Oryzias latipes: one gene and its partner. The protein of the gene in region 2 purifies or fractionates together with the protein of the main gene of each other region. This does not show direct contact. Links are inferred from orthologs where the notes say so. Each region holds a gene or a part of one and is shown on either strand. Other genes may lie near its edges. The genes, in order: kif5c and klc2.

What was found.
Region 1: the proteins of klc2 (region 2) and kif5c purify together in Homo sapiens (affinity purification with western blotting; 3 studies listed by BioGRID and IntAct, with this or other methods). This does not show direct contact. The link is inferred for Oryzias latipes from reciprocal best matches to the Homo sapiens genes KLC2 and KIF5C.

The regions. Positions count from the first base shown.
Region 1 is NC_019860.2:3,534,934-3,538,173, reverse strand, and holds the end of kif5c (kinesin heavy chain), read right to left. Parts: intron 2,288-3,240; coding exon 2,071-2,287; intron 1,997-2,070; coding exon 1,917-1,996; 3' UTR 1,900-1,916; intron 1,819-1,899; 3' UTR 501-1,818; downstream 1-500. UniProt on the Homo sapiens protein: Microtubule-associated force-producing protein that may play a role in organelle transport. Has ATPase activity. Involved in synaptic transmission. Mediates dendritic trafficking of mRNAs.
Region 2 is NC_019876.2:19,375,650-19,380,028, forward strand, and holds the start of klc2 (kinesin light chain 2), read right to left. Parts: upstream 2,911-4,379; 5' UTR 2,789-2,910; intron 1-2,788. UniProt on the Homo sapiens protein: Kinesin is a microtubule-associated force-producing protein that plays a role in organelle transport. The light chain functions in coupling of cargo to the heavy chain or in the modulation of its ATPase activity.

The DNA of each region.
Region 1 (3,240 bases), on a different chromosome or scaffold from region 2:
CATTTTTTCTGTATAATTTACAAAAACAAACTTTAAGTTGACTTGATTTACAGTCAGAGGAAAACAAAAAATATTTGGCCTTTTTCCTTCAAAATAAAACAGCTTTATTGCTGCAAATGTAATAAATAAAACATTTAAGAAAAAACTTACATTCAGTGACTAATTACTTTTCATAAGTTTGACTAAAAAAGAAAACAAATATTTCATTTGGTACATTTTGAAAATTGGTTTTACGTTAATATGTTTTTTTAAAGATTTATTAGATAGAAGTGACTGAGCGCCATTCTTCTGCTTGCTCTGAAAATATTCCCTGAAAAAAACAAATGTTTTTTCCTTTTGTGTCTTCATTTTGTTGCACAATCAGAATGTTTAGCAATAAATGAATAGATTCATTTAAATGTTTTTTTGTGTTATCTTAAAAATAAATCTGCCTGATAAAACAAAAATCATATAAAAGATAATATTCATGTCACGTGACTTGCTTCATAGTCAAAACAACAACCAAAACAATAGTTTTATTTTTTTTCTACAAAATAAAACATCTCAATGGTGCAAATTTTTTTTTACCCGTTGGATTTCCCAACAAACACATGTGGTTTCTGGTTGGAGGATGCATCGTCATGCAGGAACGTTCATTCACGTGTCGTTCGATTCCCTCGGTACATACAGGAGGAAACTCGGTCATGCTCAGCGACGAGTACAGAGAACTTTCACGGATGACGCTCACGTCCAGAGAGGGTCACATTCACATTCGAGCGCGAGCGCAAAAGGCACAAACGTCGGAAATCATTTGTCCGAAACTGCAGAGAAAAAAACAACCCGGAGAGGCGCTGATGCAGGTCAGGGAGCGTCTGATTGGCCGATCAGACTGCAACATCCTGAACAAGAACCGATAAATACGGAGGTCTAAACAAGACTAAATTAATAAAACCTTGATACAAATAATGTGTAAACAATGTCCGGAGGTTTGTCAAGAAATTTTGTGACACTAACTATGGTAATTAGGTGGGCGGGGCCTCAGTTCTTGGTCCTAAATTTAAAACCTTAAATGTACAGATTGCTAGCGTGTTGAGCTTGATGTAAAATAATTTAGCGTTCAAATATAGAAAATTTGGGGACAAAAATCTAAAAAGTGCTACTAATTGTTTTAGCTAGCATTTTGTAGTTACAAAAAAAGCAGTGGCTAAGCTAAAGCTTAATTATTACAAGTTAGAGTTTTAAATACATAAACAAAGCAAATATTTGTTTTAAATGTGTTTGTAGGATGTTTTTCTTTCATTTGTGAACATTCTAATTTCATGCCTTATTTTTCCCCTCAAATGAATTTTGTCACTTTGGGTGTTCCATAGGTTTGCATCACAACTATTTCACTAGACCGTAGATCTGCAAAAATGATGCAGGACGAGAAAAACGGCAACAAATGGAATATTTGAGAGCATTTTCTTTTGTGGATCCGCAGTTTTGCTAACGTCACAAAACCTTCAAGTTTACAAAAACAAACCATTTTTATAGATATGGTTTTAGACACAAACTTTAGACAAATGAAGGACAAAAATGAAAATGACGAAACATTCAAATGTCTGCATTTGTGTGTTTTCCTTGTTTGTTGCTTTCTTAAAGGGTGTGTTTTGGGTGGCGCTCCTTCAGGAGGTCCGGCGGTAGGCGTGTTCCGGCGGCATCCTTGTCTTCCCCTCCAACAAACTTCACCTACAAGAGGAACAAAAAAAACTACCGGAAAATGGGGAGGAGGCTTCCTGACGGTGCCACAGGAGGAGGGGGGCGGGGCTTGTTGTGGGCATGCGGAGAGTTGTTTACTGTCTGCAAAATAAAATTTTAAAAAGCGATGAAGCGACAGTTTTTAGAGCAAGAAAAGCCATCGACGGCCGCCCAGAACCTCACCTGTGTGGGAGTTCAGTTTAGGAGCGGACCGTCCCGGTTCTGACGGAACCACAGATCGGGGACGCCGTGGGGGGGTGACCCGGCCTGATGGGTTTGGCTGAGGAGCAGAACCAGTTAAATTTAGAGCAACCTCTTTGGATCAAAACTACCAAAAAGCGGGTAGAAGCTCACCGATCTGCGCGGAGAACCCCCTCCTGGCCATGTTCTTGGCGCGAACGGCCTCCTTGATGCGGTCCACCTCCTGCTGGTAGCGCTTGCGGTCCCGCATGGCGTTCTCCTTGGCCTCCTTCAGGGCGTTCTCCAGCGCTTTGACGCGCTCGGCCGTCACTCGCAGACGCTTCTCCAGCTTCGGCAGCTCGCAGCGGAGGTCGGCGTTGTCGCGAACCAGCTGGAAACACCCGTCTGAGTTAGCTTACCCCAAACAACAGACTTTGCAGAAAGATTTTTTTACGATTTTGATCACATGCTTCGGGTAGATTAATGAACACTAAGCAAAAATCTGTTTGAAGAAAAATAAAAAACGTGCCCGTGTTTGCTAATTTTTGCTTTTAAGATTTTTAGTAAAATTCTCGAACAGATTTGCTGAATTTGTTTTTTTTCTCGTATTTTAGCGCCACCTATGAATATTTTGTGGAACTACATGCTGGGTTTAAGTTAAGCCACAAAACTTATTGAGTTTCAACTTCCCTCATCATGATGCTGCCATAGCCGTGCTTTAGAATAGGAAACTGGTCGGAAAAGGATTTCTTCAACTGTTTTTCTTTTTTTACAAAAATTAAAAAATGAAACAATTTTTGATGTTTTTTGTTCCATTTACTTAATTTTTCTATGAAGCCATTCAGCTAAGTTCCTCATTTTAGCAGAGGAGCCTCAACATTCAACATCCCTCAACATGACACTGCCACCACCATGCTTCACAATAGGGATGTACTGGTAAAGAAAAGTTTCACTGGCTTTCTTTGTTGTATTTTTTTTTTTTTGACATTAAAAATGACTTCTGATGTTTTTGATTTAATTTACTTAATTTTCCCATGATGCCACGCAGCTGGGTTCCCTATTTTAACTGAAGAAACCTCCAATCAATTTGATTGACGTGAATGCGAAAATATAAAACTGTTTTCTAAAACTAGCTGCGTTGAAAACAAAGAAGTCTTTAACCGTTAAAGGAAAATTTGTTGGTTTTGCGATCTAAAAATGATAGAAAATAACGTAAACAATTCCGAACTAAACTCACTTGGCTGAATGTTCTATTGAAAGGATAAAGTGTGTTTCTCAGCGCTTGCTTGTCTGGATTCAGCTTCGCCGTCTGTTTATCGTCTTCTCCAGGAGGAAGCACGGTTT
Region 2 (4,379 bases):
TTTTTTTTTTACAGTATTGCTCGCTGTGATGTCATTGTCTTTGGGGGTTGTCGTTCAATCTGCCAAAAACTCACTCCGAGAAAGATGGTGTTTTTGGCATGTTTTTCTCAATATGGAGGACATATAAAGAAACTTAAGCCTTATTTAACATTTCTGAATATTTCCTTCAAATTGTTTTAAATCAGGAGCAGATAAAAAAACTGCAACTTATTTGTGACGTAGAAATTATGCTGGGTGGGCCACAATCTCCCTGCTCCACTCCATTCTGATGCATACTCTTATAGACAAATAGATTCATGAACGTCTTTGTTTTCCTCGTCTGAGCTGACATCTGGTTCAAAACTGTACAGCTGGATAGCTCCAATATTGCTCGCCAGTTTTGTTGCACCGCTAATGTCAGGTTGGGGGTGTTGTTGTTGCTGAGTTGTGTTCCGCACAGAATAGAGGTGAATTTCTGATTAACTACTGCTGCTTTGGAGCAACTATGTCCTAGAAAACCACACAGTTTTTTTAAATTTGGCTAAAAATGGCTTGATGATAGTTAAAAGACCACTGGAAACAATTTTACAATAGATAAAAATGAGAGAAAAAATGATCAGTGTGGGTCATTAATGTCTGCCTGTGAGAATTGTAAAAAGTGTATGGTGAGGGGTTTTACAACCTTAAAACATCTATAAATATAGTAAAATTAAAGCTGGCTACTCTACATATTTTGTCTTTGCAGGTTATTTGTAGAACGCCTGATAAACAAGGGACCACCATACACAAAAAAAGGAAAATGATATTTATTCTGAGAATTTCTTTTTACAAAACGAAATAGTTTAGTTAAAGGGCCTATACCTTGTCAAATCAACAGCTTTTTTTATTTTGTTAATTCCTCACAAAAGACAACAACCCAAAGTGGTATTTTGATCCATTGACAAATTTCTGAGTATTCCTCTAAAAACCAGCTCTCGGAGCACCAGCCCCTCCCAATCCATGAAAATGAGTGGGTCCTCACCTTCACAAGTATAAAATGAGAAACAGCTCCTTCCAGGAAGAGTCTATGCTCCCAGCACCACCCCCAGGCTAAGACACACACCAACATTCTCCGTGGAGCTAGCAGGGATCGGCTAAACGCTTTACTTTTCTATGCACAATATGCACATCCATCTTTGCAAAAGTTCGAATGTCGTGTCTTTTCATAAGCGAAACGCAGACACACTGCCGAGGCTGGCTCTAGGCTGACGTCACGAAAGGGCGGCGCCCACAAGGAGCGAAAGACAGTGCCTCAGAGATCCAGTCGTGTTACTTCCAGGTAGGAAAATGAGCTGCGAAAATAACTGTTGTTTCTTTTAAAAAAAATGTTATTTAGTGTGCCAAAGGTAATATATTATCATATATATGGATTACTCTGAGCATGATACAGGCACCCTTACCAAAAACCTTCACCAACAAAACCAAATACTTGAATTCATGTTGTCAATATAGTCTTCAAGAATGATACTACACAAACATGTCTGAAATCTCATCCACTGATGTTGAGTATTTTGGTAAAAATGAAATAAAATATTTTTCCCAATATATTGTATGTTTTATCATGAGTCTGGCGATACGATATATATCGCAATACAGATCACGCGTCATTCGTTCTCATCTGGAGCCCACAACGAAGCATCACAATCCACGATTCTATATGGTATCGGCAGCAACGTTGCAGAGTTTTTGTTCGGGACCTATCCCAAGGAAAAATTAAGTCTCGTATGTCTCATAACAACAAAACTGAGAGGATGCCTGAACCTTTAGCATTTTACACAAGCTGATTCTTGTGGGATATTGTTTTGGTGCAGTGTAGAGCTCCTCGAAGAGGCTCAGTGGGCTGTGCTGCCAACTAGCGGTCGCAGGTTTAAATGGAAAATAAGAGTCAGACGCTAAAGGAAACCTAAAAATAAATCAATATCGTCTAGGCAGCATTTGTAATCGATACAAATATCGCCAAGTGAAATTTTGTGATACATCGATTTCCCCCTACAACCCTATAGTATATTACAGCTCTAAAATATTGATATTTCTCGGGCTGCGATGAAAATATCTGTTCAACCGTTTTGTTACAGAAGCCCAACTTTTGCAACTTGGTGCCTTCCATAATCACAGCGCACCTGTTTCCCCCCGCCCCTCCCCTGGCTGTTCCACTCACTCACCCATCTACCTACCCCCTCCCATCCGCCTCGCACACCGACTGCAATGCACCAATATTCACACTCTTAATTTCAGTTTTTCAAACCGCCGCCTGTCTAACGGGGGTGTAATCTATTTATTTGTCACATTCAATGGGAACGTTTTAAGTTGCAGACTGAAAGGAGGAAAATACCGGCGGATGCGTCAAGGCCTGAGACCGGGAGGGAGGCGACGTTTGTCTTGGCAGCGAATCAATCGAGGTGACCGACAAGGACGAAACTCGTAAAATCCACATTTAGTTTCTTCCGAAAAACATCCCAAAAATCATTCGCGTTTCGGCTCTCCACATATTAATGAAGCGTACAGGCCGCTCCCTTGCGTTTTACAAGGGGATGCACAATATGTCGCGCACTAATTTATTGCGCTTTGGAGGCTGATGTCCGTCATCAATGACAGTCATGAAATTTTACTACAGTCGACAAATTAAAGAAGAAAAAAACACAAAAATTATGCCCGATTGTGGCCCATAATTGCATACATAATCATTTTTCCAAGAAAAATATAATAAAAGATCATTTCCATAAATTATAACACTACAAAAATGTCTATATATTTGTAAAAACTCAGCTACCTTCGTCGAAAACGGTGCGACGCTTTCCGACTTCGGGACAAAGCAGCAGCTGAATGTTGTGATGCTTTGACCTGCGTCAGTCTGCGTCACTCGTGGCAACTTCCGGGAAGTTTTCAAAAATAAAAGCCAAAATACACCAGTGGTGACCCGTCCCTATCTTATTGGATAGGAAATAGACTTGCTTTTCTATTTACCGACGTCTTCATTAGCAAGTCTAATATAACCACCACCACCAAAACAACAACAATAATAATACTTTAAATCTCAAAATTATGTTCAGAAATCTGTAAACGTATTATTCCAGAAAGAGAACATTTATTTTGGAAAAGTGAATAGGCAAAAATTTAAAAACTAAATAGATTTGGATTTTTAATCAAAGAGTGATTACTACATATCTAGTGATAAAACTATTTTTAAAGAATGAAATGGCAATCTCTATACCATTTTGTTTTTGAAAAGAATAATTGAATAATTGAAGGGCCACATCCATTACTCATCCAGTGTTGGTCCTTGGCCAAGACCCTTCACGCTACTGCCTAATTATGTAGCTACAAGCCCCCCCCCCCCCCCAAGTCTGGGTCTCCCTGTGCAGTTCCCCACCCAGGATTAAATACAGGGTTGTGTGTCAGGAAGGGCATTCAACGCAACGTAACAACCCAAATGTGTGCCCTTCGTCAAGACTGATTCGCTGTGGCGTCTCTTGGCAGAATATGCTGAAAGTTAAATAACTCCACATTTGAACCAAACTGGTTATGTCCTAAGAAGCAAATATTAAGACTTCAATTTTTTTTTTAATTTCCCTACTTTGCTGGGCATCATAGTTGTTCCTTCCTCTCACCGACAACATCCTCTTTTCCTTGAATTGGCTTTGATGTCACGATGTTCAGAGTAACTTTTTTAGGGCTGTAAATGGTCTTCAAAATTATCCTATAGTAGATGATATGGTACAAAAGAGCAAAACAATTTGAAACTAAACAATGTTTCAAACAGTTCGTCCGATTCTGTCTTTTATTCTTAAATGTAATGCTGTTTGTTTTTAATTTAATTATGTTGATTTCAGACCAAGAAACCACTTATTAGTGATTAAGTAAACAGTAGAACCTATAATCCAAGTCTTGCTTGTTGATTAATCATTAAATATGAATGAAAAGGAGAAGCACATCAAACCTTTGTTCAATATATTTATTACAGAGGAGCTGACTCTTGTTGAAGCTCAAAAAAAGCTGAAAAGTTAAAGCACTGGGACTTCTTAATGATGGAGCAGTGAATGGAAACAAACATCACAACAGGTTTACAAAACAGGAACTTGAAGCTGAAGCTTCTTGTGGTGTTTGTACCTTTTTTTTTAAGTCAGCCTTCAGAAAACAAACATCTTTATTTTTACTCTGTGGACAGAGAACTGACCTTTAGTCATAGTACATACTTGTCATTTTTATACAATCATCTAACACAAGTTAAGCTATGAAACTTGTGTTCGATTATTTATTCATAAAACCATGAATAAAACCATTGTTTCCTCATAAGGTATATTGTTCAGTTATATTTTTTAAGCCTTATGTGCTTTTAATCTATATTTTTGTTTTGCCCTGCT